4 linked regions of the Pelodiscus sinensis genome follow. The protein of the gene in region 2 interacts with the protein of the main gene of each other region in a biochemical or structural test. Links are inferred from orthologs where the notes say so. Each region holds a gene or a part of one and is shown on either strand. Other genes may lie near its edges.

Region 1 (8,077 bases), on a different chromosome or scaffold from region 2:
TGGTGCCTCACCCCCTGCACATGCAGCAGGTGCCTGGCCCCTGGCGCACAGAGCTGGTGCCTCACCCCCTGTACACGCAGCAGGTGCCTGGCCCCTGGCGCACAGAGCTGGTGCCTCACCCCCTGTACACGCAGCAGGTGCCTGGCCCCTGGCGCACAGAGCTGGTGCCTCACCCCCTGCACACGTAGCAGGTGCCTGGCCCCTGGCGCACAGAGCTGGTGCCTCACCCCCTGTACACGCAGCAGGTGCCTGGCCCCTGGCGCACAGAGCTGGTGCCTCACCCCCTGCACACGTAGCAGGTGCCTGGCCCCTGGCGCACAGAGCTGGTGCCTCACCCCCTGTACACGCAGCAGGTGCCTGGCCCCTGGCGCACAGAGCTGGTGCCTCACCCCCTGCACACGCAGCAGGTGACTGGCCCCTGGTGCACAGAGCTGGTGCCTCACCCCCTGCACACGTAGCAGGTGCCTGGCCCCTGGTGCACAGAGCTGGTGCCTCACCCCCTGCCCACATAGCAGGTGCCTGGCCCCTGGCGCACAGAGCTGGTGCCTCACCCCCTGCACACGTAGCAGGTGCCTGGCCCCTGGTGCACAGAGCTGGTGCCTCACCCCCTGCCCACATAGCAGGTGCCTGGCCCCTGGTGCACAGAGCTGGTGCCTCACCCCCTGCACACGCAGCAGGTGCCTGACCCCTGGTGCACAGAGCTGGTGCCTCACCCCCAGTATACGCAGCAGGTGCCTGGCCCCTGGCGCACAGAGCTGGTGCCTCACCCCCTGCACACGCAGCAGGTGCCTGACCCCTGGTGCACAGAGCTGGTGCCTCACCCCCTGCACACGCAGCAGGTGCCTGGCCCCTGGTGCACAGAGCTGGTGCCTCACCCCCTGCACACGCAGCAGGTGCCTGGCCCCTGGTGCACAGAGCTGGTGCCTCACCCCCTGCACACGCAGCAGGTGCCTGACCCCTGGTGCACAGAGCTGGTGCCTCACCCCCTGCACACGCAGCAGGTGCCTGGCCCCTGGTGCACAGAGCTGGTGCCTCACCCCCTGCACACGTAGCAGGTGACTGGCCCCTGGCGCACAGAGCTGGTGCCTCACCCCCTGCACACGTAGCAGGTGACTGGCCCCTGGCGCACAGAGCTGGTGCCTCACCCCCTGCACACGCAGCAGGTGCCTGGCCCCTGGCGCACAGAGCTGGTGCCTCACCCCCTGCACACGCAGCAGGTGCCTGGCCCCTGGTGCACAGAGCTGGTGCCTCACCCCCTGCACACGCAGCAGGTGCCTGGCCCCTGGTGCACAGAGCTGGTGCCTCACCCCCTGCACACGCAGCAGGTGCCTGGCCCCTGGTGCACAGAGCTGGTGCCTCACCCCCTGCACACGCAGCAGGTGCCTGGCCCCTGGCGCACAGAGCTGGTGCCTCACCCCCTGCACACGCAGCAGGTGCCTGGCCCCTGGTGCACAGAGCTGGTGCCTCACCCCCTGCACACGTAGCAGGTGCCTGGCCCCTGGTGCACAGAGCTGGTGCCTCACCCCCTGCACACGTAGCAGGTGCCTGGCCCCTGGCGCACAGAGCTGGTGCCTCACCCCCTGCACACGCAGCAGGTGCCTGGCCCCTGGTGCACAGAGCTGGTGCCTCACCCCCTGCCCACATAGCAGGTGCCTGACCCTCCTGCGCAAAACAGGTGCCCAGCGCGTTGCACACAGCAGGGGTCGGGCCTCTCGTGGAGACACCAGGTGCCTCAGCCCCTGCGTCTGAGGTGGGCTCCTGGCGTGCGCGTTGCCTCCTGCGTACTCAGGAGCTGCCCAACCCCTTGTGCACCGCCGGCACATGAACCTTGTCATTAGGCATGAGCGGTCTCTGGGCGCTGCCCCTTCTGTGTGTGCTCCACGTCCCCTCCCCTCTTCCCGCCCCTCGTCTTCCTCAGTCATCCTCTCTGTTCTCTCCCCCTCCTCACTCCAGTCCCTTCCTCCCCTCCCGCAGCTCCGCCCCGGCTATCCTCTGTCCTCCCCACGTTATCCCTGCACCAGAGCCCGGCCCCGGGGAGCTCTGCACACTGCAGCCTCTTCGGCTGGGGCGCAGAGGCGGGTTCACTATGGCTGCCAATGGCGTCTTTTCCTGGCACATCACTTGTGCCATTTCACAAAAGGCAGAAATCGTATCCCCGGCTGCCCTCCCCGCATGGGGCTCCTCCTTGCACGTTCCCAGGGGGGCAACTGCAGCGCAGAAGAGGGGCCAGGGATCTCTTCCACAAAAGGAGACACAGCAAGCGCTCCTGCCTGGAGACCTTTCATGCAACCTCCGGCTTGGCCTGGCCAACGTTTATATTTAGCACCCGAGGCGGGGAAGGCAGGAGCCAGGGGGTTTCTGACCGTAAAGCCGTGTTTTGAGCTGTCTGCTTCAGCACAAGGGAGCTGGGAGAGAAGTGGAATTTCTGCCCCCAGCCCCAAAGCCCTCCCAAAGGCAGAGCCGTTGGTTCCAGCAGCCAGTTTGCTTTCCCTGGAGTCTGCTTCGCGCAGGGAACTCGGGATTCCCTGTCTGCCACCCTCTGTGGGGACCTGCTCCCAGACCCTGCCCGTCTCCCTGACAAGCCTGGCACGAGGGTCACCTGCCGGCAGAGAACGCACCACCAAGCCGTCTCTCTCCAGACGCTGCCGGCTGCTCAGGCGTCCCCGGGGACCTGGCAGCGCGGTGCTCCCAAGAGCAGGGCAGTGAGAGCTCTCAGGCTGCGCTGTCACTTGGCAGAGCATGGGGGAGCGGGGGCTTGTGAGTTTGCAGCAAGCCCCGAGCTGTGCTACGCTAGGAGGACGAGCTCCGGGACACTGTCGGAGTCAGCTACTTACTTTTAGATGGAAGAAGCAGGGTCCCAAGGAAAGAGCTTTGGGGTCAGATTTTCACTCTCCTTCGACTCCGGGAGTGAGAGACTTTGGCTCGGCTGGGGCGTGCTGGCTGGACAGCTGCTGCTGCTGTCAGATGGTCACGAGTGAAACCTGAGGACCTGAGGGTTCTTCAGGTAGCATGGCCCTCTTGCGGCTTGGGCATTCGTCCTCCGGGTGGCCAATCAAGTGGGAGGCAGTTCCCCTGGCCCCACAGCCCCATTGCAGGGCACTGGGCAGAGGGATCAGGCTCCCTGGGACATACACACAAGGGAGGTCCCTGGGCCCAGCGGCTCCGGAGCAATCCACTGGGAGCAGCTCACAGACTGCGTCACAGCGAAAGGCCGATCCAGGCAGGCAGCCCCTGGGCTCCGGGTAGAACGAGGAGCAGGATCGAGAGCTGGGCAGCAGCTGGTATTTTGGGTGCAGGAGCCGCATCAACCCCATGAAAATAAACCCTGTTCCGGCTGCACCACCGCGGAATTTTCTTTTCATTTCCCAGTGAAATGCAACAACACAATTCACTCCAGCCCAACGGTCGCTTCGGGGCTTGAATTTTGGACTTTTAAAAAATCAGAAAGTGGAAGTCAGCTTTTGAAGCAGAAAGCAGTTCCAGATGAAACGTCTCATTTGACTGTTACTTGTTTGCCAAGACAAAAGAAGTGAGCTTGTTATAAATCTGCAAACTCGTTCAGTGACCTAACGAGGCATTTCCCCCAGGAAATGTGGCCAAGCTTCCCCCCCACTCAGCACAGCACCTGGGGAACCCCACAAATTGCTCCCAGCTGGGGTGGAGCAAAGCAAGGCCCTCACGCCCCTCCAGCATGACGGGCAAACAGGCAGGGAAGTAAGAGGAGACAACGGCTAGGTTGGGGGCTTTCTGAGACCACCGTCCTTCCTGCTGACCCAGGCTCCCCAGTTGATTGTCAGCTCTCTGGGCTGGGACAGCACCTGGCCCAGCAATGGGCTGGACCATCGGGTCTAGATGCTGCCTCCAGAGAAATACACACTGATGGCTGGAGGGTCGGGCTTAGGAGCTTGCCATCCCGTGACCTCAAAGCACATTCCTGAGGAGGTGAGCCTCATTAGCCCCATTTCAGAGGTGGGGAACCGAGGCACAGAGCAGCAGCATGACCGACCCCAAGCCACCCCGCAGGGAGAGAACCCAGGTTTGCTGAGTCTCAGGCCAGTGCTGTATCCACTAGGCCACATTGCTCTGAAGAGAAGCCCCAGAAGACTCCTGCCTCACACACTCGGACTCCTGCTAAAACTGCGAAGCTGGGAAAATCCAACCCAGCTGACTGCAGAGCAGAGAGGTCTGGGCACACGCCCCCTGCGGCAGCCTAGCCCCCCGCTCCCGCCCGACGGGGATTTAAAGGGCCCAGGGCTATGGCTGCTGCCGCTCTGCAAATTGCCAGGCTGCAGAACAACTGCCCCCTTTGCCCTCCCTGTGGCGCCTCCCCCACCAAGCCCAGTGGGATTTCAATCACAGCCCTGCAGGCAGCGCTGCCACCTGCAACGGTGCAGAGGTACCACAACCTGCCCACCCTCCAATAACAACCTTGCAGCCACCCCCAACTCCTCTTTGGGCCAGGATCCCTACAGCTACAGCACCCTGCAATGCCGGGGTCAACGAGTGCCTATGACTGTGCAATTGACCAAAGGGGGCTGGGACTTTGGGAGGGGCTCTAAAGATGAGCATGGACCTTAACGGTGCAGGCAGGGCACGGGGGCGATGGTCTGTACAGCTCCTAGCACAGCGTGGCCCTAGGCTCTCCTGCCACACAAACATGAAATACCAGAAAGAGCAACGACCGAGCCATTTGGGGCAGTTACGGAGGAGCCTGGTGGCAATGGCACGGGACCCGCAGGGCACTGACCGGAGGCTCCATTAGTGGGTTGCTGGGTTACTTGGGGTGACTGGGAGGAACTGACAGGAGAGTGGGGAAGTGGGTAGGATCAGGGGATGGTGGCAGATGGGGCACTGTCCCCCCCACCCGGAGCTCCTCGTGAGGCCTGCAGGTATCTGGCAGCATCGCTGGGTCAGCATGATTTGAGTGAGCCGGATGCCTCCTGCAGTCCCATGAGGTTTGTTTCCAGCCCCAGTCCTGGCTCTGGGTCCTGTGCTGCTATTTAGCTCTAATTTACCCCTTCTAAGGGCCCACCCAGCAGTGGCAGTGTTGGTCATGCTGCTGGCCAATAGTGACCTCCTGTGGTTCGGCAAATTCTCTGGTTTGGCACCGGCCAGGTCCCCAGGGTGCCGGGTAGAGAGGTTCAACCCGTGCGGGTATTTAAATCCTCACCTTTAGATTTCAGAATTAATAACCCTGCTAGAAGGCATGGGGCAAGTTCATCCATCCCCGAGCTATTGAACTAGTGCTTTGAACTGTAACCCCTTCCTCCCTGGGGGTATGTCTACACTACCCCGCTAGTTCGAACTAGCGGGGTAATGTAGGCATACCGCACTTGCAAATGAAGCCCAGGATTTGAATTTCCCGGGCTTCATTTGCATAAGCGGGGAGCCGCCATTTTTAAATCCCGGCTAGTTGGAACCCCATGCAGCGCGGCTACACGGGACTCGAACTAGGTAGTTCGGACTAGGTTCCTATTCCGAACTACCGTTACTCCTCGTGAAATGAGGTGTACCGGTAGTTCGGAATAGGCACCCTAGTCCGAACTACCTAGTTCGAGCCCCGTGTAGCCGCGCTACACGGGGTTCGAAGCAGCGGGGATTTAAAAATGGCGGCTCCCCGCTTATGCAAATGAAGCCCGGGAAATTCAAATCCCGGGCTTCATTTGCAAGTGCGGTATGCCTCCATTACCCTCCTAGTTCGAACTAGCGGGGTAGTGTAGACATACCCTGGGTTACTCGGGAGCAGGCCACGCTCACTTGTGTGCCTGGGCACCTGATGGTTTTAACATGAAAGGGGAGCCTGAGGACCCTACAGGTGGTGTTGGATAGCTGGGGATCCCCTCTCCACCCCCACTTGCTTCAAAAGGAATATACAGTGGCGGTGCCTCCACCTGGCTGGCCCTGTACACACTTAGGGTACGTCTAGACTACATGGCTCTGTCGACGGAGCCATGTAGATTTGTTGTTTTGGCAAAGGCAAATGAAGCCATGATTTAAATGATCGCGGCTTCATTTACATTTACATGGCTGCCGCACTGAGCCGACAAACAGCTGATCAGCTGTTTGTCGGCTCAGCGCGGCAGCCATGTAAATGTAAATGAAGCCGCGATCATTTAAATCACGGCTTCATTTGCCTTTGCCTATGTGTCTAATCTACATGCCCCTGGCAACAGAGCCATGTAGGCTAGACACAGCCTTAATGATGTGCCTGAGGAGCCTCCAGGAATCAAAATACAGGACAATGTAGCACTTTACAGACTAACAAGATGGTTTATTAGATGATGAGCTTTCGTGGGCCAGACCCACTTCCTCAGATCAAATAGTGGAAGAAAGTAGTCACAACCATATATACCAAAGGATACAATTAAAAAAAATGAACACATATGAAAAGGACAAATCACATTTCAGAACAGAAGGGGGTTGCGGGGGGGGAGGGGGAGGGAGGTAGATGTCTGAGAGCTAATGATATTAGGGGTGATAATTGGGAAGCTATTGTGACGTAGTGGGGGTATTGGGCTGCTTTCTAAGCTGGCTCTGTGGTAACCCCACTGGCTGCTGCTGGTACCACGGCCCAGAAGGACAGGGAGTGAGACATTATGCAAAGAGGCCCTCTCAACCTGTCCGACCAGCTACCCCCCAAGGAGAGGAACAAAGGAAGGTGAATGCCGCCCGGGCTGGGGGGCAGGGCTGGAAGAGAGTTAGTTAGTTTTCTGTCTGGGAGCATGGAGGAAGCAACCTCAGCAACAGGCTGGGGGTTTAGAAGCCGAGACCCCCCCCCATATCAAAGGGGGATGAGGCATCTTAGGCCTGCCCTGTAACCTGATGACATCTGTGCTGTGCTGTATTCTGGAGAGGCAATAAACTCCCTCTGTTCTCCCGGCTGGTGGAGTCTGTTTGTGCCATTTCGGGGTGCAGGAGGCGGGGGACCCCAACGCGCCATCACACTGGTGTCAGGAGTGGGATGCACTGCACCCCGTGGATGGAGCTTCCAGCGGCGAGCGACAAGGCGCAGTAGAAGCAAGAGCCCTGGAGCCAGGCGTGCTGGAGACAGAGCGAAGCGGTTCCTGGGAATCGTGGGGCGCTGCAGCACTAGACTGGTGAGTCTGCACCGAGGGGCCCAGCGGGCAGGTGGCCTACGCCCGACTCTTGAAGGCAGAGCTGGTGGGGCTGTGCAGAGAACGGGGCTTGCCTGTGCAGAAAGCAACCAAGGCCCAGCTGATTGCCCAGCTGGAAGAGAATGACCAGCCACAGGGCCAGGATCTTGTCCCCAGGGGGAGCAGCCAGACCCCCCCTGAGAGTGTGTCAGGCTCAGAGAGGGGGAGGAGCGCTGGAACCCACCGGAGAGATGAAACAGCTTCCCCCAGGAGGCCTGCAAGCCGTAGCCCATCTAGGGCAGGGGCCAGCCCAGCGGAGCTGCGGCGCCTGGAGATCCAGCTGCAGATCAAGGAATTGGAAGTAGAGGACCGAGAGAGGGACCGCCAGGACCGAGAGAAGGAGCGCCAAGATCGAGAGAGGGACCACCAGGACCGAGAGAGGCAGCGACAGCATGAGCTGGCCATGGCAGAGCGGAGAACCTGCGGGGCACCGGCTGTGCCAAGAGTGGATGGGCCCCAGGGTCCCGGGACTGCCAGACGCTTGGAGAGGCTCGTGGTGGCCCAATTGAAGGACGTGGGCGACACAGACAGGTTCCTCAGCTCCTTTGAGAGGGCCTGTGGACTGCAACGGGTCCCCCCAGCTGACTGGCTGCAGGAGCTCGTCCCTGCACTGAGCCAGGAGGCGGCCGGAGTGCTCAGTCAGCTGGAGGACCTACACATAATGTTTGTATCCGCAACCTTATCCACAAAAACAAGCCTCAGATACTCGTGGATATAAAGCTGATAATGGTGGGTGTAAAGCAGATACCCGTTGTGGCGGCGCGTCGGGGTTCCCCTGCCTCCTGCACCCCCGTAGTGGCACGAACAGACTCCGCCAGCCAGTAGAACAGAGGGAGTTTATTGCTCCTCCAGGATACAGACCAGCACAGATGTAATCTGGTTACAGGGCAGGCCTAGGATGCCTCAACCCCCCTTGAGATGGG
Region 2 (7,290 bases):
TTCCACTTGATGCCTCTGATATAGAGGCAGTAAGGAGAGGGGGAAATGCCAGCAGTCAAGTAGTCGACTCCACTACCCAATACGTGTAGACTTATGAGGTAGTCAACTACTTGACTAGTCACTTACATTCCTACACCAAAAATGACAATTTAAAGATTTTATTACTTAAGTAATTTTTTATTCTGAAAACACTGCTGGTTGCAAGAAAGAATAAATTCTCTGATGAATACTAAACTATGTTAATGAAATGAACACCATTTTATGGCATAACCACCAGCTATAAGTAGCAGTGAACTGCACTCTCATCATTTAAGGGCCTTATTTTAGCTGCCATAATGACAAAACCAGTTCAAAAAGTTGGTGCCCCAAATACAAGGATCTCTTCTCCTACATGGTACTGAAAAATATCTAGCACATCATCAGAAAAACAAAAAGTCCGAAAAGAAATAAAATTGCATCCATTAGGAATACATTAGTTGACAACTAAATTTGTCATGCTTTACTACATTTTCCCCCACCTTCAGAACCGTGTCATTGTTAGGAATGAAGCAGTGCTTTGGAAAATGATCATTCTCTATAAAAGGATTACTCTATTTAGACTTCATTGCTTCACTGCCAAGTATAAGCCATAGAAGGAAGATGAAGTTCAAATGTCATCTATTTTGTTTAGTTCTTTCAGATGCCCAAGAATAACCTCTTCTGTTGCCTGTGAAGATAAGTCTATAAATCATAACCCAGATCAGTTGTGCATTATCATTTGAAAAAGCTATTTTGTATTGACACAAATCTGTCACTTTTCCACTAAAGAATACTATTACTAAATGAGTCTGTGCTAGATGAATAATCATTTCATCACTACACAAAACTGCCTGATGTTATTTATCAGATCTGGGTCATTTTTAAATGTTTTACTTTCTTAAAATGGGCAAATACATATATAACAAGTATAAAAAGTTCATATAAAAGTGAATATATTTGGTTCTCAGGCACACACGCTTCTCAGACAAGCCAGTTCCATATTCCTAAACCAGGCTGATCACACAACATATCCAGTCAGTACAACTGAAAACACTCTGCCATCCACTTCGTTATTCAAGAATAATAATTTAGACTGTCTTCTATCAAGGACAACATAAACTAGTCCCAAGCTATGGCCTTTAATGCATTCTTTTGAAATCTATACAATACATGAATGATTTTTTTTAGACCTCTCTCAGCACATATAGTTTTGGAACTCCAGTGTAATCAATATCTGGCATTGGCTCTCTGAAGCATCTTAAACCAAGTTGTTATAGGACATCTAGATACTTTGTATAATATGTTTTGTGTTAAATAAAATTAGTCAAGATAAAGTAATATGTAGTAGCCACACTTTTGCAATAGCCTTAACAAGATGATTGTAGTATCACATTGCATTGAGCCTGTGTGTATTCCTATCTCAAACAAATTTTGATTAGAAGTCCCATATAAAGCAATGAAAATTAAATTTGTCAGTTTTTACCCAAATTATACCATATTAATTTTGAGAAGCAGTTCTTATAGTAACTCATATTAAAGTATAGTATCTTCCATTCTTTCGACTACATCAGATTTTACCAGGATAAACTTCTACAGGTTCTAAGTGTAGGTATATGTCTTGCATATGAAAATCATTCAATTTCTGCTATAAGGAAAGGCAATGCAAGAAGTGTTGGCTATCCTGCCCCAGGTATTAAGATAAAATTAAACAAACTAACTCTTCTCCAGTGATGAAATAGATAGCCAAACTCTTCATCTTGAAGAACAGAAGACAAACAACACAACCTTATTTGTAAAGTGAACAAATGATTACAAAGAAAGAAAGATCAGTCGTTCTTTTTAAAGGATGCACATATTAGATGGCGACAGTAAAGGAACCAACACCCTTGAAAGTAAAGGGGGGAAAGCAAATATCTCCTAACTTCTGGATTTCTTTCAAGTAAAATAATTAAGAGCAGTACCCTTTGGAAGTGTTTATTTGTAGAGAAAGGAACTAAGCTGCCGGGCTAACTATTTCAGAAGAGAACCATAACCAGGCAGTTTCACTTCAATACCTCATCCTGCTGAACAAAGAAACTTCTGTTTGAGGAGCTTAAAAACTTTCGATCTCACCAGATTCTTCTTGCAACCTCCATAGAAATAACGATCCCACACACACAAATAACATTGGAAGAGACAAAAGGAGACTCGGGCTTTTTTCAGGCAGACAACACAGCCCAGCAGAAAACTAAAGGCCAAAAACAGGATATCGGAATGAAGCGCCAGCTCCTTCCTTTCCCCTCCCCTCGGCGCAAGGTTTCTTACCCAAACCTCCTCTGCACCCACTTACCTTCGATCGCTGCTGTCTCGATCAGCTTCACCCTACCCCAGCAGGGCCCCTCTCCGTCCCAAGGGGAATTTTAAATCCAACCAAGTTTTCTTCACGGGGGCCGAGCGGATGCAGCCGCTGTTGGTCGGGAAGCAGGGCTGGGGCAGGGAGGACGCAGCACCGGCTTCTCGGCACCCCCGGTCCCGGTTTCAGCGGCCAACCGATCCCGGCCGAGTCACATTCCCCGGCCGCGGCGCTGAAGTTGGAGAATCACTTCCTGCCCTGGGCACGGGCACAGACGGCGAGTCTGCAGCGCCCGCTTCGCCACCGCCCCCTGCCGCCCGAGCCAGGCTGCCTCCTCCCCACACTAGGCCAGCTCCGCGCGCCGAGCCCGCCCCGCCTGCAGTCCCGTCCTATAGAGACTGCCGCATGCAGCCCGGCCCCGCCCGCCCCGCGCCGCTAACCGCCGCCAGGGGCGCGAGGCGAGGAACAGGCAGCGCCCTCCGGCCGGGCGGTGGCTGGGGAACCGGTAGTAGCCGGGCCACGTCGTGCCCGCAGCGGGGCAAGGGGCGCTCACGATACACAAGGCAGGCGGCAGCACCGCCGCACAGCCAAGGGGAGACACTGCAGCGCCGCCGGGAGGGAGGGGAAGGGCGGGCGCGCCTCTGTCTGTCTCTCTCACACACACACTCCCTCCGGCTGGCCGCTAGAGGAAGGCGAGACCCCGCCTGCCTCACTCCTGAGTCAGACCACAAGCCCGGGGCTGAGTGCGAGCAGCGGCGGAGCACAGCCAATCCGGAGCCAGGGCCTCGCGAGGGGCGGCCAGCCCCAGCCAATCACGGCGCTCTACGAGCAATGCCTCAGCAAGTTGCGTTGCATGAAACCGGGAAGCGATGTGCTGAGGGGGGGAGGGGCGGCTGTGCGCTGGGTTGGTGCGGGGGTGGGGGAGCGAGGAACACGCGGGGGTAGGGGCAGGGAAAGGGCGCGGGGCAGTGACAGGAGCGGAACGAAACGAAAAGGTAGAGGGGGAGGGGCAGAGGACGGGGCTGGCGGGGGTGAAGTGGAGGGGGAGGCGGGCGATGAAGGCTCGCCAGAGGTCAGCGTAACGTTCCCTTCGCTGTTTGTCTCTCACGCCCACAGCGCTCGCTGCTGCGTGTGTGGAAAAGCGGCAGCTCGCAGTCGTTGATGCCCTTTTTCTTCCTCATTAAGCAATCGCCGCGTGGTTTCGCTGCCTGTTTTTAGTGTAAAGGTGTCGCTGTTTCTTCTGCTTGTTGGCAGCCAGTGGAATGCAGGGCGCGGTGGCTCGCTTGTTCGTTTAGAGACCGTATCAGTTAAGACAGAGTCAACCTTGAGTCTGGAATGAGAGTTGTTTTCTTAGGGGTAATCCGCTCAGCATCATAATATAGTAATTGCACATATTACAGTCAGTCTTGTGCCAGGCTTTTGTTCTCTTGCACATAACAACCTTGTTAGTTATCACTCCAATGTGCCATTTATCTCGAGTATTTTTATTGGGGAGTAAGGGCACAGTGCCACATGGTGAGTTTCCAAAAAAAAAGTATTAAATTAAATTACTTAAATGCTAATAATAGTGTCATGCTATATTTGAGATCGTGGATACTAAACTAGGAAATTCAAAGTTGTATTTCTTATTGAAACATTCCCCCTTTCTACATAAGCAGCGTTTCACTAAATATGCTATTAATTTAAATGTTTCATAACATGCAACGGTATGTGAAATGTAGCTAGCAGATTTGTTGTGTGACACTTGATTTATTCATCTGTTCATGTTAAATCTCAACAATATGTGGTGGTAGCTGTTTTTGCTTTTTGTATCCTTAGTTTTTTTAGTGAATCTGTTACTTATGCACCATGCCAGATTGACAAATCTGGAGTCTAAAGTTCTGAGCCACAGGACAGACAGCACTGGTAACTGCAGGATGGACTTCCACATGCTGATCACCTTCTGTTCTGTAATCATGTTCTGAGGGGGCCACTTCTAAGGATGTAGTTTTCACACTCATTTAATCTTTGGCTACTTTAATGGGACTGTGAACAAATGTGCCAGTATGAATGGTGATGCTGTATATTTAATCCAGGCCCATTAAGAATTGAACTAAACCCAAACTTTTTATTAATGCTACTGAACACTCATTATACAGTAATGATTTGTAGTCACAACCTGAGCCACATCTACATGACTAGAGACCTACATCAGTATAACTATGTTGCTCAAAATCCACACCCCTTGGCAATGTAATTATACAACTTAGTTCCTGTGTAGACAGCACCATGTTGATGGGAGAGCTTCTGTGAACATGGCTACTGCTCTCCTGGAAGTGGTTTAACTACACCAACAGAAAACTACTTCCATCAGCATAATAGCATCTCCACTAAAGCACTACAGCTGTGCCCCTGTAGCATGGGTGGCCAGTAACAAAGGCAAGGGAAGGTATTACCGTCCCAAAACTGCCTACATTGCCCAGCTGCCCTAGAGTGGCAGCCCAGTGGCCAGGGATGACTGGAGCCACAGTACCAGGAGACTAGCTCCCTGCCAGCCAGAGAGAGCTGGGGCTGTAGCACAGGGAGCCCTGTTCCTCCTGGTAGCCAGGAAAGATATGGTTTGAGAGCTGGAGTTGGCCGGGGTTTGTTTAGGGGGAAGAATTGTTTAGGACAGTGGTCCCCAACCTTTAGAGGCTCCCGGGCGCTCGGGAGGTGGGGGCCACTCATGCGCCGGGGGCGGAGCCGTGCGTCCGGGGGCACGCAAGAGGACTGGGATGCTCTTGCACCCGGCGTTTGCCCTAGGGCCGGGGCCGCCAGAGCGCCGTGGGCCCGGGGCCGGCGCTGCCGCCCGAGCAACGCACCTGGGGCCGGCACCGGCGCCGCTCGAGCACCGAGTGCCCGCAATGTGCCCCGGGACTGGAGCCGCCCGAGCGCCGCGCACGCAGCGCCAGTGTGTGTCGCGCGCTTGGGGCCGGCGCCTCCTGTGCGCCGGGAGCGGGGCCAGCCCAGGTTGTCAGCGGGCGCACACGAATGCCCCAGCAGGCGCCATGGCGCCCGCGGGCACCGCGTTGGGGACCACTGGTTTAGGAGGTATTGTCGCAGGGGAAGGGGTATGGCTTTTGTTGGGAGGGGCGGGGCTTGGGCTTGTCTTCCCTTCCACCGCTGGGCCTTCACCCAGTACCCATGCCCTGTAGCACTATACATCAAGACAAGCCCCTTGAAGTAAAAAGTTTATCATTGCCATTCTCCTGAGATTGATCATTAGATCCATTATCAGTCCAGTTCAGGAATGTTACAGTTACCATTCAGTTCAATGAAGGGGTTTGAGTGCTAATAGTTTAGCTGAGATTAAGTGAATATGCTCATATTTAAATAAATGCACTTAAATTTGATTGTACCTTCAAATGTTTATTTGAATATTTTCATATGTAAATAGGAATTACATATTTTGCTATTTAATGTTCAATTATTCAAATATAGCAACATCTGGACTTAAGGCAATATGCATTAGGTTGCACTCATTTTGTTCCTACATTTTTCTCAAATAATCCCGTCCTCTGTTTAATAAATATCTGATAACAACTATGCCAAATTTTACACTTATAAATAAAGGCATTGTAAACAAATTAGGAAGAGGTCTCTTCCCTCCCTCCCCCAACAATGAAACCTCTATCATTTTCTCATGTTCATACAAGTATCATGGATCATTTGATGATTGTGTTCTGTTCATTCTCTCTGGGGCACCTAGCACTGGCCATTGGTGAAAGACAGGATACGGGAGTGGATGGAATTTTGATTTCACCCAGTATAGCTGTTTTTAGGTTCTTACTTCTTTTTCTTCAGAACAACTCACCTTTTGTCTAAAACTAAGTATGACACATTTCATGCGCCAAAGTTAAAAATAAGTCTACAGCGGCAAGTTACTGTGCAGTAAATCAGTCCCCAGCATTGTAACTTTCTCAGTATCCACACTGGCAAATCATAATGTACACTAGTTTGCTGTAGGTAAACCAATTTTGCAAACAGCATAGAGATTGCTGTGCTCTGGATAATGCGTTTGGGCACTAGTGCGGTGAAGTACTGTGTTATGATTAGTCTCCAGCACTCTTCTCATGCTGCCTGTTCTTGCCTCTTTGGACATCGCTTTGAACTCTACTGCCTTGCTCTCTGGTGACCAACCCCCAGACCCATCCTTTGCATTCTTTTTGAGATTTGAGTCCCCTTTCTGTTTGCTCAGTGACATATGGTGTGTTCTCAGGGCATCTCTCCAGCTAGCCATGCACCAGGAGTTCCCCAACTTGGAACCATTCAAAGATGCTGTTTAGTGTTCCCTCTAAGATTGTCCAACCGTGAACGGAGTGAATTTTGGCTTGTGCATCAATATTGAGGTCGTGTGCTCGATCGGATGTGTGCCACTATGGCACCCAAGTTATTAACACACACACACACACACCCAGCTGTCAGAGCAGAAATCTCCTTCTCCCCATGCCATGTACCATGTCCTGTTCCCCTCCACCAGAGCAGACCCTGTCCCCCCAGCCTTGTGGTAGGTCCCTTTCCCAGCCACTGAAACAGACACCACCACCCCGCCCACCTCCTCCCCACCATGCAGCAGGTCCCGTGCCTGGCCCCAGCTGCCAGAACAGGCCCCGGCTCCCCATGCCATGTGGCAGCCCAGCCACTGAAGCAGGCCTTCCTTCCCTTCCCCTTCCCCCCCCTTCCCCTGCCATGCAGCCATGGCAGGTCCCAACCCCAGCAGCTCCCTTACCATGCTGGCTCAGCTGGCCCCACCCGCTGGAGCAGCCAGCTGCCATGGGCATGCTGCCACACAACTCTCCAGAGGAGATGGGCAGGGGGGAGATTTTTTTGTATGCGGCTGCGCAGATGCGCACCTTAGCAGGAACTATGGTACTGTACTACATCAGCATTTGGGGAGAGGAGGCAGTCCAGTTCCAGCTGTG
Region 3 (8,151 bases), on a different chromosome or scaffold from region 2:
GGCCCCCAGACTGGTAGTAGTACAGGATAGCATCAAAGCTGGGCCGGTTCCGATCGAAGAAGTACTCATTCCTGAGTGGGTCAAAGTACCTACCCCGCTTTGCCGGATCCCCCAGCAATGTTTCAGGAAACTGAGCCAAGGTCTTCAGCTGAGTCTCAAACCGCAGTCCTGATACATTGATCACTACCCGTTCGCAGCACTCATACTCGCTGTAGCGCACTGTGCTGTAGCCCCCAGGGCCGCCGTCACCTCCACCATCATCAGGTGGGTGGTCCAAATACGAACATTCATCCACTTCATCCTCGTCACTGTAGTAGAACTTCCCTTCCTCCTCATCTTCTTCATCCTCCTCCTCATCCTCCTCTTCCTCCTCACTCAAGTCCTTCAGTATCTTCTCTTCAGAGCCACTTAGAGGCAGCAGCTCAGAACAGAGGAAGGAGGCCCCACACTCCCTGCTACTCAAATAGTGGCTCCTTTTTCTCCCTCGCTTTCTCCTTCTACTGCTTTGATGCCAGGGCAAACTGCTATGTGGTGCATTGCCATCGTGAGAAGAAGAAGCCCCCCGACTCTGTATCTGGTGGTAGTGATGATAGGGACCACCTCCTCCCGAGGCGCCGCCTTCTACTGCTGCTGTTGCTGCTGCCACAGCTGCAGCTGCCGCTGCCCTCGAGTGTGCCAGTCTTTCTCTCTCCCGAGCCCGAGCCTGGACAGCATATCCATAGGGCATGTGGCTGTTGCAGCCAGAGCTCTCTGCACTCACCATTGCAACCTCCATTTTGTAACTGTTTGTTTAATACAAAATAGTCTGGGATATCTATAGTCACACCTTGACTTTTATGAGGGAAAGTTCAAAGCCATTTGCATTTGGAGGACAGTTTCTTGGAAGCACAGTACATGATGGTATTAGTAAAACTGAATTTGTGTTTTGTGAAATTGTAACCACCACAAAATCTGCATTTTCTTATCATTCAGGATGTCTGACAAATATAACCGTGTTTTGTTCACAAAAAAAAATAAAAGAAAAGATGCAGCCTTCAGTTTTGATTTCAGAAAGAGTCAAGGCCTCATCCTTTCATCAGGCAAGCCTCTTTATTTTTATGATACTTCAGTGGCCAATACAGAATCCACACATCTTTTCAAATGTGTGATTTTGTTGTAGCTCCAAGGACTGCACCCAATAAAGAGCCAAGTGTTCATACAAAACGAGGTAACTGTCCTGTTGTTTTCTTGACAAAGAAAAGTTTCAGGTCTTTAGTTTATCACTGTAACCAAATGCAAATAGTCTCTTTTCTCATCATTTTCTCCAAGTAATGCTTTGGTCTAGCAATATGATTACTGTTTAATAATGATATTGAGGGAGTTGAAGTAACTTCCAGCCATCATTTTGTTTACACAGTGAGGAGGTCTTTGCAAGCCCTCTTTCTTCAGCCTGTCAACAGAGTCTCAAACCTCGGAGCAGCAGCCAGGGCAGTAGCTGCAGTGGCAAGAGGAGGAGGAGAAGGCTGCAACACTGGCTTGGAGGACTCCATAGGGGACAAGAGAGTGGATCACCCTTTGGTTATGCTCATGCAGAAGAAGCACTTAACCTGAGGCACATGCAGCAAACACACATACATACAAAAATAACAAAGAAAACAGAAAGGTTTAGAAAAGGTTGGTTCGTTTTCCTAAGATGCCACAGTGTAGGTCAAATGCAAATTGTGTCATTTACTAAGATGTTCAGCCACACATACACACACCCCCTTCACATTAATACATCACACACATTCATTCCATACACCCATAGGTTTTCTATGATTGTGTGTACAGATACGAGTGTGTGTGTGTATACACATATAGGTGTACTTAAGTATGTAATTGTTTTATCTTCCTAACTCTAGGAGAGAGCGCAACATTCACATCAATACTACTGTACATGGCAGTCACAATTTGCAAGACTTTACATATAGACTGTATTTGTATGTATAAAATCTTCTACGTATATCAAATGTGACACGGAGATGTATACAAAATAGCTCTGCTACATATTGGGAACTTAATTAACTGCAGGAATGATACAGTACATTTCAAATCTAACTTGTGATGTAGTCACAATGCACCTTTTACTAAACTGTCACTTAGTAAAAGGTACATACCTGGGCATATCCAGTGACCAACATCCATGCTTGTCTGACAAAAAAATACAAACTGTAGCTTCCTGGAGCAACAACACACGGTCACCCAAACACACACACACACACACACACCCCTAAAAACAGCACACACCCCTTTCTGAATATGCTGCAGGAAGAAAAATGCTATTATACTTACTGTTCCTAGGCAGAGAAATAGCAACGCTCTTCTGGCTCGTCCAAGGATGTGGAGAAAGAGCTCCTGAGAAGGGGACGGTGCTAACTAAGCAGCCTAGGGTTGCAGGTGTAGGGGCAGCCAAAACTACAGGTGGATGACTTATTTGTCTCGGTTCTCTTTGTACACAAGCAGATCTCCCAGGGGGAGCCAGATGGGGAGCCCAGCTCTGGAGAAATCTGGTCAGCGACGGTCACTTCTTAGCCCAGAGCTTAGCAAAACAGCAACAATCAAGAATCTTGCTCCAGGAGGAAACAAAAAAGAGGATTCGTGTGTGTGTGTGTGTGTGCGTGAGAGTGTGTGTGTGAGAGAGTGTGTGTGCGCGCGCGCGGGAGGACACGCTTGTGTGTGTGTGTGATCACTTGTCTCTCCAAAGCGGGCGCTGGCGGGAGGGTGAAATCAACGGGGAATAATCCCTGTGCGAGCCGAGCACTGGCGAGTGATAGCAGGAGGCGCCCTGTTGGTGGCAATTCCCCTCGCACGCCCGTTTACACTGCAGCCGAGCGCCCCGCAGTCCAGCGCACACCGCATCCACTTGTTGTTGCTGCTGCTATTATTTGGAGGGCGGGGGCGAGGAGGAGCGAGGCAATTAAACCCAACACAACCGACCCCCCGCGAGGCTTTCGCGCCCGCGCTCCCGAGCCCCTGCGCCGCGCTCCCGCTAACTCTGGCCTCAGTGAGTTGCGGGCGCAGGAACTGTTGCTCTTTCCCGCGCTCTCGCCCCCTTTGTCAGCCGTCTGCTGCCCGATTCCCAACTGTGTTTACGTGCCACTGAAGGACGAACGCCAGGTCTGATTTATTCCCTGGGCTTTCCAGCTCTCGGCCAGCCCCTAGCGGCCACAGCCCTCCTTGCACTCATTAAGCAATTTACAATCTCCCCCCCCCCCCCCCCCCGCCCGCATTGTTTCTTTTTGTGGTCATATATTAATTATTGAAAGAAATATGCCAGAGTTGAATAATACATACCTTGGCTAATACAAGGGAGAGCTCGGGTCCGTGCCGAGGGCTGTCTTTTTTAAAGAAAATCTATGCCGCTCAAGAGGCACTGGGAATTTCAAATGGAATCAAGGAATAAGTGTGGCACACAACATCAGTGAACAGCTGGATCTACCTGGCTCCTGCTGGTTTTTGGCCATGATTTCCCAATGTGTTGCTTCATAACAGAAAAGCAGCCCTACTGCTCTTATTGGAGGGGGGGGGGGGTTTGCGGGAAATCCAATCCACCCTAGAATCATAGAATCCTAGGGCTGGAATAGACCTCAGGAGTCATTGAGTCCAGCCCCGTGCCCAAGGCAGGACCAATCCCAACTAAATCATCCCAGCCAGGGCTTTGTCAAGCCAGGACTTAAAAACCTCTAGAGATGGAGAGTCCACCACCTCCCTAGGTAACCCATCCCAGTGCTTCACCACTCTCCTAGCGAAATAGTTTTTCCTAATATCCAACCTAGACCTCCCCCACTGTAACTTGAGACCATTGCTCCTTGTTCTGTCGTCTGTCACTACTGGCAATAGCAGCTCTGCATCCTCTTTGGAACCTCCCTTCCAGAAGTTGAAGGGTGCTATCAATCCCCCCTCACTCTTCTCTTCTGCAGACTAAATAAGCCCAAATCCCTCACCCTCTCCCGGTAGGCTATGTGCACCTGCCCGCTAATCATTTTGGTTGCCCGCTGCTGGACCCTCTCCAATGCATCCACATCCTTTCTATAGTGGGAGGCCCAGAACTGGACTCAACACTCCAAATGTGGCCTCACCAGAGCCAAATAAATGGGAAAAATCGCTTCTCTAGATCTGCTGGCATGCTCCTCCTAATGCACCCTAATATGCTGTTAGCCTTCTTAACTACAAGGACACACTGTTGATTCAGTGCTCCCTGGAGTAGGAACATTGCAAAACCCTGGATCTAATACCTGAATCCTGCCAAACTTTGGCCTCAAATTGTAATGCTCCTACAGAGAAATAAGTCTAGCTGCTCACTATGCAGAGCATTACGAAACCCCAGATATGGATTTGAATCCTACCAGATCCATCCACTTTTAGCCCTTACTCTCCTCAAAAAAAAAAAAAAAAACCACAGCAGGAAGAAGAAATAAGAGTAGCTCCTCCTACTCCACCAAAAAAACAAGCAGATAGTAGAATGTGGGACTTGATATCAAATATGCCCAAAATCCAGCTGGAGCCAGATCCAGGTTTTTACAACATTCATGTAGGGGATGGGGAGATCTAACTGGAAAATAAGCATAACCACTCCTATTCCACTAAAAAAAATCTAGATCCTAATGCACCCCAGCCTAATATCATGAGAAAAACGCATAACTGGCATCTGAATGTAACCCCACTCAAACAAAATAAAGGGTGGAAATAAAAACTCCCAGTGCACATAAAAAATCCAGATCATAATGCAAACTGATGCAGCAGTCCCATAAAATCATGCACCCAACCCCTTGATCCTGTTGGATCCATCCTGACCTGGATTGCACAGAAGGATGAAAAGGGAGACTCGAACAAAAATAGCACAAGTGGTTGATTTTCAGTCTTAGCACTTTCTCTATTCTTCTTGGATTCCCTTTAAGCTCATGATCAGGGAGATTCTTCAAAACAACAATGTTAGAAGAAGGAATGTTAGAAGGGAAGATAGTCTTGGAGAGTGGATAGCCCTGAGGTAAGGCACTAAGTAGGGACTCAGGAAACCTGGCTTTACCCCTAGTTCTGTGACAAGTTTCCTGGGTCTCATTGGACAGATCACTTTTCTGCGCTTCAGTTCCCTATCTGTAATTATAGTTCCTCTCTCCCACATTTTGTCTCTCTAATCTGTTTTGACTGGGAAATGGAGCAGGGACTGCCCATTTCTATGCATTCATACAGTGAATACAATGGGGCCTCAGTTGTTTCAACCTCTAGGTTTTATCATAAATAAAGATGAATGAAGCTCAGTGAATTATTTGCACTGTGGAATCCCTGTCATTAGGAGCTTTTAAGATGAGGTTAGTAAAAAACCTGGCAAGAATCACTTAGGCTAGATATATTTGGTTCCTTCTCAGCAAGGGGGGAAACTCTGCTTGCTCAATGTACTGAATCAAATGTCCTCCCTCTGTATTTGCAGTTTTGAAACAAGGCAAGCAGAGAGTACAATCATTGTGAAGGCATACAAAACCCAGGAGATATTAGGTGTTAGACTGTGTGTGGCATTTGCTCCTGATGAGATGCCAAAGGAAACTGAGTGGAGTTGGGAAAATATGGGGTGGTAAATTTTCACATCAGTTAAGGATCTCAGAAAAAGTCATGGAGAGGATGCCTTTGCAAGTATTCTTTGGCAAGTAGAACCAGGCCATTCTAGTGGCTGGTCAGAAGCATGATCTGTGAAATTTGGCACATATACTCCTTGTTCTGGCTATGAGGCTATGGACAGCAGTTACATGCTCCTGCTTTGGTCAGGAATAATTTGGGGAGAGATTAGACTGTGAGATCACAATTAATGCTGCCTTTGGACTGTTAAAATTCCATATATTTGGGGGGAAACTGGAAAGAGCAACATTTTGGTTCAAGACAAAGAATTCAAAAATGCTTCAAGAACTTTTCCAGTAGCTCTGTGCCTAGAGATGTCTCACATTGCAAACTGGTATTGTGCCAAATTGTCACAGATGTAGAGAAAATAATTTTGATATGTTTCACTGTATGGCACATATGTTTTCCAGTAGCAAATGTATTTGATAGTGTCTTGTAATTTGTGTCATATCTGCCACCAATTTGTCCAATTATTTGAATGGAAAGCGATGCTTTTAGGATCTACAGGCTGCACTTGAAGTTCTCATATCAAACAGCTGCCATTGACATCAGGGGAAGGGACACACATGGAGAAACTGCAGAATCAGACCAAAAACTGTGGGTACGTCTACACAGCCACATTATTTCGTCCATACTTAGTCCATGTCTACACAGCAGGCAGTTATTTCAAAATAAAGTCAAAATACTGTCATGCTGGAGGACTTCTTACTCTGATTCCTGCAACCCTCATTGTACAAGGAGTAAGGGAATGTGATGGACATCCCTTCCCCCCCTCCCCCCCCCCCCAAAGAACATTAATATAAATAACTCAAAGGTGCTTGGAGCAAATTATTTCATGTAACCTATCAATCTTCATGTCATGATCAGCTGATTCTGTTTATCTTATTTTGATGTGTGTATCATTTTTGTGTGTAAAATTAGACATATGGAGTAGGGTATACTTTATGATTTTTAAATGTGTAAATGGAAAGCCATCAATTGGGACCCCAGTGTCTCAGCAGTAATATGCAAATAGCCTTTTGTCCTTAAGGCTTAGCAGTAGTCCTTAGGGATTCCCCATAGAACAAGGGAATGCTTTAAAAAGAATAGGAAGGCAGGAGCCTTTGGTCTTTTGGCTGGGCTGCACCTGCAGGAAGGAGCCGAAGACCCCAGGGTGGGGAGACAGCCCTGATTTGCAAGGGCAGCTGGAAAAGATGTTTTAGGGTGAGTTTGAAAAGTTTGCACTGAGGTTCCAGGGTAGAATTAGCCAAGCATTTTTGTTTCTTTTGATTTGTAATCTACTTTGCTCTGCCTGTTCTCGCTTATTACCACTCAAATCCTACTGCTTGTACTTAATAAAATCACTTTTATTTTCTATCAAACCCAGTGTAAGCAATTATTACATGGGAGAGCAATCAGTGTGCACATTCCCCCTTTCATTGTTAAAGGTGACTTACCTAATTCTTTGGGGTTTGATGTCATTTGGGGAGTGGTATCCCAAGAGCTGGGCCCTAAACTGCACTCTAATCAAACTTGAAGAGGTTCAGTAACTGTACTGCTTCTTGGGGGTCAGAGATCTCAGCTCAGGGCCGTGATTGGGGGAGACCAGGGAGCTGGCCTGGCAGGACCAGGCAGTGAAGAGCCCCAGAGAGTGGGAAGGCGAGTGGCAGTGGCCGTGTCAGCACCCTGGGAGGCACCAAAAGGGGTCTTCTGAGACCGCACCCCCCTCACAGGGAAGTCGGAGGAAGAGTCTCTATTTCTAAATAAGTGTTGTGTAGATGCTCCCAATTTTGAAATAAGCTATGCAATTGACGTAGTTCAATTTGCTTAGTTTATTTCGAGTTAAGCCCTGCTGTGCAGTCACACCCTGTAGGTGCTATACATTTTGTTGAAGGACTCCATGTTAGAAAGTATTATGCATACAGTTTACACATATTATACTAGAAGAGATTGTCTTTGTGTTCGTGTACAAGGTCAGGAGTTAGGAGATTCGTGTTTTTGAGCATAGTCTGACACAGCTATCTTAGCCCAAATTTAGCCTTGTGGTAACAAAGTGTAACTCCCATAGGAGACTCTGAGCCCAAATCAGCATGTCAGAGTTCCTAGTGTATCCTCTGCGACCAACCTGATGGGGAATAAAAAGGTGCATTGTGGGCCAGATGAGCTTGGTCAGAAGAGAGGAGTTGCTTTGCCTCTGAGCCCTTCACATTAAATAGATAGTAGAGAGAAGAAAACCCATAGTTGTGTCCTCTCTACCTTTATGAATCCATGAATTCTGTCTAGTCACCACTATTAGCAGCCCAGAGAATGAGTGATTTTTTGCCATCATTGTACTGGAGAGTTCTGCCAGTTTCCTACTGACACCATCTAAATGAAAATTTGACCTTGTGCCACCAAAGTGGTATAAGAACTTTATTAACTTTATGTGTCAGTTTATCCACAACTGCGTCATGGATTGGGGCATGAAATAACAGTTATGAGCTTTCTCTTTCTTGCAGTTATGTTTACTGATACACACATATACTCAGGAAAAGTATATGCATT
Region 4 (7,555 bases), about 85 Mb from region 2:
TGTAGAGGTGAAGCAAGTGCAGTTACATCTGTCACGTCATTAACATGACCCAACAGCCAGGGTCTGGGATACTATGTAGTTAGGAGAACAGTCTGCAAGGGCACTGCAGAAACTCAGTGATCCATCTGGTTTGGGGATGGCTCGCCATATACTTCCCTTTGGATTTCTTAAGGGAGGCGATATGTACCTAGCTGTTTCTGCACAAGACATGCTTTCATTTCATTTCCCTCGCCATAATTCCTATTTAATATCACTATTGATATTGGATGTGCTTCCACAAAGCATCCCTTGAAGTTACAAAGCACTGCACAAAGGCCTCTGCCACACCGAAGTGTCATGAAAATTAAAGCACAACTGTTGTCTATTGTGACTAGTATTGGGTTGTCCATAGGGTTTGCGGCTGTAGTGACACTGTTCTGTTTGGATTTTAGTACTGTATTTTAAAATATTAACATGGCCAGATTTTCAAAAAAGCAGTTTTCATTTAGGGCACAATTCAACAAAGCACTTAAGCACATTGGTTTGTGAGAGACTCCACTCTGAGGCTGTGTCTACAATGGCAAGTTATTCCGGAAAATCAGCCGCTTTTTTGGAAAAACTTGCCAGCTGTCTACACTGGCCACTTGAATTTCCAGAAAAGCACTGACGATGTAATGTAAAATCATCAGTGCTTTTCCTGAAAAACTATGCTGCTCCCATTCGGGCAAAAGTTTTTCTGGAAAACTGTTCCGGAAAAGGGCCAGTGGTGACAGCAAAAGGGCCAGTGTAGACAGCACAGTAGTGTATTCCGCAAAAAAGCCCCGATCACGAAAATGACGACTGGGGCTTTTTTGCGGAAAAGCGAATCTAGATTGGCCACAGACGCTTTTCCGGAAAAAAGTGCTTTTCTGGAAAAGTGTCCTGCCGATCTAGATCCACTTTTCCAAAAAAGCTTTTAACGGAAAACTTTTCCGTTAAAAGCATTTTCGGAAATTCACGCTAGTGTAGACATAGCCTGAGTGTTGCCTTGAAGTTAAAAAAAACCTACATGGTGTATTTAGGTTACAACTATATTTTGTGTGTGTGTTTACAACACCATCAGAAATTAAAACAAGGATTTGGAAATGTTTGATTTTTGTGACCTGTGCTAGAACTAAAGATAATTTTGGTGAAAAAAATATCAACCATTTTCAAGTAGCAACTTGAATTTTACAGCTTTATTTTGACCCCTTGTTTTTTTAGTACACCATCATAACCCTAAACACGGTTTCATTATCAGCTATGATGTAGCAACAAAAGATGAAGCCTGCTGTTAAAGGTGCTGTCACTCCTATACAGGAACTGAGACTGATTTTGGTCTTATATACCCGTGGAGTCATTCCACAGAGTTTAAGGGATTGGTGACATGGCTGTAGCGGAGATCCAATTCTGCCCTGTTAGGCTTTCCCATCTCACAGTGAAGGAATAAGTGCTGGCAGCATGAAATATGTAGCCCACAAGCACACCCAAATAAAATGAACTACATTTTTCAGAAAAAGATACAAAGCACACCCAGATCCTAAGCACTTTTCTATTCTGCCCAAAACATCCTCCCAGGCAGAGCTCCTAACTCCCTGGAAATGGGGCAGGAAGCCAGGTACTTTAGCCTGGAGTCGATCAGCAGCTATTTTCCCCCATTTTCCTTTGTTGGATCCCTTCAGTCTTTCTCCTTGCACACAACAGTCCTGGAAGCCGGATTCTCTCCTACAAGAATATTTTTTCCCCCACCTCCTTGAGGCGAATCCCCAGTCCCCCAGCGAGGCCGGCGTGTGCAAAAAAAGACTCTGCCAAGAGGAGGGCTCCAATTGTTATTTTTTTCTAAGGAACCAGAGTTTAGACGCCAGGGGTTACTCTCGGTCAGTCCCAGCAGGGCTGCCTGGCTGGGTTGCCCTCCCTTCCTGCCCGGGCCGCCCCAGCTGGAGGGCTCCTGCTGAGAAAGCAGCGGGGCAGGAGAGAGCAGACCCTGGACACAGAGCGGCTCCAGCCAGGAGCCATGGAGGAAAGCAGCAGAGAAGAAAACCCGGAGCAGCCCAAATAAATCCCTTTGCAAACAAGCGCTGGGGAAGGGGGGGGGGGGAGAAAGAGGAGAGAGAAGCCAGAGGAAGCCACAAAGGAGGACGTGCAGCGGGGGGGGGGGGCCCAGAAAGAAAGGAGAGGCTGGGGGCAGAGAGAGAGGGGCTGCCTCAGAAGGGAGAGGGGACCAGGAAGGCAAAAAGAGGCGACCCTACAATAAACAAAGCTCCGGGCGGGGGTGGGGGGGGGTGAAGCTGGGGCAGGGAGGGGCTGCCCCAGAAGAGGGGGGAGACCAAGCGGGCAAAGAGAGGCGACCCTACAATAAACAAAGCTCCGGGCAGGGGGTGAGGCTGGGGCAGGGAGGGGCTGCCCCAGAAGAGGGGGGAGACCAGGCGGGCAAAGAGAGGCGACCCTACAATAAACAAAGCTCCGGGCAGGGGGTGAGGCTAGGGCAGGGAGGGGCTACCCCAGAAGAGGGGGGAGACCAGGCGGGCAAAGAGAGGCGACCCTACAATAAACAAAGCTCCGGGCAGGGGGTGAGGCTGGGGCAGGGAGAGGCTGCCCCAGAAGAGGGGGGAGACCAGGCGGGCAAAGAGAGGCGACCCTACAATAAACAAAGCTCCGGGCAGGGGGTGAGGCTGGGGCAGGGAGAGGCTGCCCCAGAAGAGGGGGGAGACCAGGCGGGCAAAGAGAGGCGACCGTACAACAAACAAAGCTCCGGGAAGGAGAAAACGGGGCGGGGGCTGCCCCTGCCCCAGAAGGGAGGGGAGCCCAGGAGGGCAACGAGGCGACCCTGCAATAAACAAAGCCCCAGAAGCGCCCCGCCGGCAGGGACCCCGGGCTGAACATACGCGCCGCGCAGCCCTACCTGGGTGGCAGCCACTTCTCGCTCCCCGGCGCTAGCTCAGCCCCGGCGGGGCTTCGAACCCGCCGCGCCTTTTATAGCGGCCCCGCCGCGGGGTTACTGCCGGTCAAACCCGGCCGCCGTGTTTATGTCGGCCCGTCACTCAGCCGCCGCACGTGGCGAGCCGGCCCGCCTCTTAAAAGGGCCCCGCGCGCAAGTCCCCGGGGCTGCACGCGCAGGGAGCCGGCCAGGGTCGGGGGGGGGGGAGCCCCAGGGAGCCTGCCTTGGATGCGGGTTTCCCAACTCCTGGGTGGGGCCCCAAAGGTTTGCAAGGGGCCTCTGGAGGCTTTAGGCTGCTGGGCTCCCCAACCAGCGCTGCAATCTCCGGGGGGGCAGCCACTTTGATTCCCCTGGGGTGCTTGGCCCCCTGCTCTACTCCAGGGCTCCCCACACCGCAGCCCTTTTCCCGTGGCCCCACCCCGCCTCTTCCCATCACATTCCCCCGCCTTCACCCAAGCACAGGCTGCCCTGCGCCCCTCCTTGTGCTTCCTGCAGGTCAGCAGTGGGCAGAAGGCACTGGGGGGTGTGGAGCCGATCCACAGGCCTGACAGAGGGTGCTGAGTACCCATTATTTTTCCCCCGGGGTGTCCCCCTACGTCAGCTCCGAAGGACCCAGAACCAGGCAGGCTAGGCCCAGCCCACAAGACACGGGGAGGCCAAATTTGAGGGAGCGGCACTGCAAGCCCAGGAGGAGCCAAGTCACAACTCTGCTCACACAAATGTGGTTCCTGTCCGCGGGGTGGGGCCAAACCTGGCCAGCAGTGCAAGCCGGGAGATTGCAACACCTAGAGCCAGCCCAGCTTGCCCCACAGGACAGGAGCCAACACTATGAGGAGTGTGGCAGGCTGGACCCAACCCTCCTGGGATGCAGGACCTAACTGAAACCACCTCAGGCCCTTCCACCCCCAGTTCATTTAGTGGGTCACAACAGGATATAAACAATTACAAATAGGGCCTGTGTCCAAAAAGGTTGGGAACCAACGTGCTAGTAAAAGGTCTAGGCTTCACTGGGTGAGTCTCTCTTGCTGGGCCCTGTTACGATGATCAGACTGGTCCCTGATTATACACTGAAAGGCCATCTGTATTCCCTCTCTTCCATGAACACAGCAAGGGCTAACACCTAGGAAGAGAGGCCGTTACACACACAAGTATCCAGAGTATTGCAGGAGTTGTGAGCAGAGCTGGAAGGATAACTGAGGGGAAGAGGCTGAAATTTTTTCCTTTATGAGCAGATAAGCTGCTCGTATCCAAGGGATCATAACATTAATTGGGTCCATGGAGGCAGCTAGCTGCTATTATATAATGTCTGGAAACTTGGAGGTTTTAAAAATTTGAGGATGAATGTTTATACAAACATTCATGCTAGAAGTTATCAATCATTTGTGATGCTCCTTACAAAAAAAATCTTGGTTTCAAAACCCATCTTTGCACTTCTTTAGCTACGCCAGTGCAGACCCCTACACAGAAACATTTTCATTTGAATGGTTTGTTTCAGGGTAGCATGACCCTGTTCATAATCAGTTTCAGCGACACCAAAATGTGACTCGTTACTAGTCAAACCTCAAATTAGCAACTGGTCACCTTGCTTTACTCAATAGACCACATCATGCTGCAGAGTAGCAGGTGAGTTCTGCATGGCTGCTGCCCACAAGTGCCTCCTCTAGTTTTTTTTCTATCCATGTGTAGGATAAATTTTGTTGTACGCACCAAGACACCAAGATGTGCACCACCAATAGAAAGACATGCTGCCAGCTGTGGCCATTCTGCTAATATGGGGCGGTACTTGAATCTCTCGTGGGTGGCCACCCAAGCGCTCAGCTTCCTGGGAAAATTTACACACAGAAATCTGAGTATGTACCCAGTACGTTTATAATGCCCTAGCTTGCTGTGACACTCCAGGCTTCTTAACACGGGATGTTATGGGACAACTCTTCTATTGCATCCAGGGACTGTGTGCAGAAGTGGTCTAGACTGAGAAAATTCATGTCCTGACAAGAGCAAAGCTGGTATGAGGTTACTTCCTTCTGCCCAAAGTCTGCTGTAGACTGCAGGAAACTGCACAGCATTTTATGTTGGTCCAACCATTTTTTGAAAAACACCTTCAGTTAAACCAGTGCAACCATCACTGGAAATAAATCAGGAGTGAAATCTGACCCTATTGAAGTCAATGAGAGTTTTGCCATTGACTTTAATAGGGCCGGGATTTAATTCCATATTATTTATTGCAAGGAACAAAAAATATGAATGGCAAAAGTTAGCAGCTCACCAGCAACCCATTGGCTGTAAACTGTTAATCTCAACAATTTGCTCAATGGGTCCCACATTAGGAAGAAATGTGGACCAGATCACAAGAAAAAAGGGCTAAACTCATATGTAAAATTATTTTCAGTGCGTAGTTTGACCGGTTGTATTTGTAAGACCTCTAGTCAACAGCTTGTTCAGCTTCTGGAGAAATGTGCTTGACTACCCAATTCACTGTGCTAGGATCCTGAGTCGGTGTCAGTTGTCCATAATTACCCCCAGCTAAGGAACTGTGGAGAAATTTATTGCTGTTCAGATTTCCCCTTTCTGCCATGCCTACAGGTATATCACTAAAGAGGAGCACAAAAGCCAGTGGCATAGAGGCTGTGAATGCATGCACATTGTGAATTATTCCATGCACAAAATTCTAGATGGCAAACACATTTAAAGCACAAGAGCCAGGACAGTCTAAATTAGGGTTCCCAGTGCAAAGCCATTGCTCATATGTAACAAAGCTGTTTGCACCTCTGCATGTTAATACTTTGCTTTAAAAGGAGCAACCGAGGTATGGAAACTCTCTCTGCATCTCCAGCTTTGTGCATTTCAATGCTCAGCTTTAAAGCTACATTTTTACTGTACTTCTTTCATTCTTTAAAGAAAGATATGGAGACTAAAGTGAGTGATCTCTTCTTCTCCCTCCCTCCCCCAAAATAGGCTCACAAAGGATTATGCTTTAAAATAAAATTAGCCATGTAAGCCTCCAACATACCAGGAAGTAATCAAACAAATGTGCACAATCACATATGTGCACATTAAACTCAGAATGGCATAATACTGTAATCTCACAACTAAATTAAATCACAACAGAGAGAGTTTGACTGTCTGGTGGTATTCTGTCAGTTCCATCACAGCCGTTGCAGCACCATCTCGATGCTTTGGATTTATAAAACAGTGGGACAGAAATCAAAATCTGTACTGAGATATTTTCTGTAATCTGTTACTCCTGGTTTCTTTTTGTTCCTCTGTTTCCAGATGGTTTGAACAACATATAGATCAGCAGCTTTTTGAAAGACAGGTTACCACTTGGAGAGCTATCGGAGAACTATGATCTAGACTTAAGGCTTTTAACTTGTCTACTGCCACCTGCCCCATGGAAGGTGAGAAGTGCTATGTTATCCATACGAGAAAACCCTAAAAATCAACAAGTAGTCTTGTAGCACCGTAAGGACTAACAAAACATGTAGATGGTATCATGAGCTTTCGTGGGCACAGCCCACTTCTTCAGATGACAGGAGTGGTTTGCGCCCACGATACCAGCTACATGTTTTGTTAATCTTTAAGGTGCTACTACACAAATTGGTGCTTTTTAAGTTTTTCCTGTTACAGACTAACTCAGCTACCCCTCTGAAGCTTTTTATTATCCATACGATTTGGGTACATAATAATTTAAGGACTATCAGTCATTTGTGAGGGTTCTGAATTCTCTGCACGACTCCTACCATCCTCACCACAAAGAGGGTGTGACCTATATATATATAACCATTCTGTCAGTCACCAATATAAACCAGGGTCTATTTTAAAAAAACAAAGGAATTTATAAATGGCCAGAGCCTCAATTAATTACACTGAGGCCAGGTCTACACTGGACCCAGCAGCTCGGCTTAAGGTACGCATTTCCAGCTATGTAGAATACCTACCTAGAGACAGCTTACCATAAGCCAAGCCTGGCAGGGCACCCTCTGAGTTCAATTTAATGAGTCTTAACTAGACTCACTGAATCAAGCTCCAGAAGATGAATCACAGCAGAGTGAAGACAGTCTTATTAGCCGCCGATCTATTCCATTGCTTTTGAAGCTGTGTTTTATAAATTAAGAAAATGTGCACATCAGATATTCTAAATTTAGTAATCAGTCACGCTTTCCCTTTTCAAGTTCCTCAAATGCAAATATACGCCTATTGTGTTACAGTAAGAGTGCTCACTCAATTTAAGTCCACCTCGTCAGCTGGTTTCAACAGGTGCCTCCACTGATCTGGGGCCTTTTAGGGTTCTTTGCAATAATCAACATCTGGGATTTCTATGCAAGACTGAATTCTGCTCTCAAAGAAACTGGTTTAATACACCTGAGACACTCTGCCTCTTTCACAGGTTTCTTAGACATCCATCTAAGAAAGTTCAAAACTAGACAGTCAATTGGGATTGGTCCTGCCTGGGGCAGGGGGCTGGACTTGATGACCTCCTGAGGTCTCTTCCAGCTCGAGGATTCTATGAATTCTGATTCGGGCTCATTCACAAAGTCAACGAGAGTCTTGCCCAAGGCAGAACCTCTGCATTTGACCCAATAAGACTAACAATACTATAGATCAGCTCCTCAGAGTAAA

What was found.
Region 1: the proteins of ERBIN (region 2) and SCN4A interact in a test that uses a peptide from one of them, tested with the Homo sapiens proteins (2 studies listed by BioGRID and IntAct). The link is inferred for Pelodiscus sinensis from reciprocal best matches to the Homo sapiens genes ERBIN and SCN4A.
Region 3: the proteins of ERBIN (region 2) and KCNA4 interact in a test that uses a peptide from one of them, tested with the Homo sapiens proteins (3 studies listed by BioGRID and IntAct, with this or other methods). The link is inferred for Pelodiscus sinensis from reciprocal best matches to the Homo sapiens genes ERBIN and KCNA4.
Region 4: the proteins of ERBIN (region 2) and ABCA1 interact in a test that uses a peptide from one of them, tested with the Homo sapiens proteins (2 studies listed by BioGRID and IntAct). The link is inferred for Pelodiscus sinensis from reciprocal best matches to the Homo sapiens genes ERBIN and ABCA1.

What each region holds. Positions count from the first base shown.
Region 1 is NC_134739.1:2,074,014-2,082,090, forward strand, and holds the start of SCN4A (sodium channel protein type 4 subunit alpha), read right to left. Parts: upstream 3,040-8,077; 5' UTR 2,835-3,039; intron 1-2,834. UniProt on the Homo sapiens protein: Pore-forming subunit of Nav1.4, a voltage-gated sodium (Nav) channel that directly mediates the depolarizing phase of action potentials in excitable membranes.
Region 2 is NC_134716.1:89,980,189-89,987,478, forward strand, and holds the start of ERBIN (erbin), read right to left. Parts: upstream 3,031-7,290; 5' UTR 2,348-3,030; intron 2,322-2,347; exon of another isoform or gene 2,073-2,321; intron 1-2,072. UniProt on the Homo sapiens protein: Acts as an adapter for the receptor ERBB2, in epithelia. By binding the unphosphorylated 'Tyr-1248' of receptor ERBB2, it may contribute to stabilize this unphosphorylated state.
Region 3 is NC_134714.1:95,610,395-95,618,545, forward strand, and holds the start of KCNA4 (potassium voltage-gated channel subfamily A member 4), read right to left. Parts: upstream 3,124-8,151; 5' UTR 2,311-3,123; intron 1,587-2,310; 5' UTR 776-1,586; coding exon 1-775. UniProt on the Homo sapiens protein: Voltage-gated potassium channel that mediates transmembrane potassium transport in excitable membranes. Forms tetrameric potassium-selective channels through which potassium ions pass in accordance with their electrochemical gradient.
Region 4 is NC_134716.1:5,225,383-5,232,937, forward strand, and holds the start of ABCA1 (phospholipid-transporting ATPase ABCA1), read right to left. Parts: upstream 3,050-7,555; 5' UTR 2,900-3,049; intron 1-2,899. UniProt on the Homo sapiens protein: Catalyzes the translocation of specific phospholipids from the cytoplasmic to the extracellular/lumenal leaflet of membrane coupled to the hydrolysis of ATP.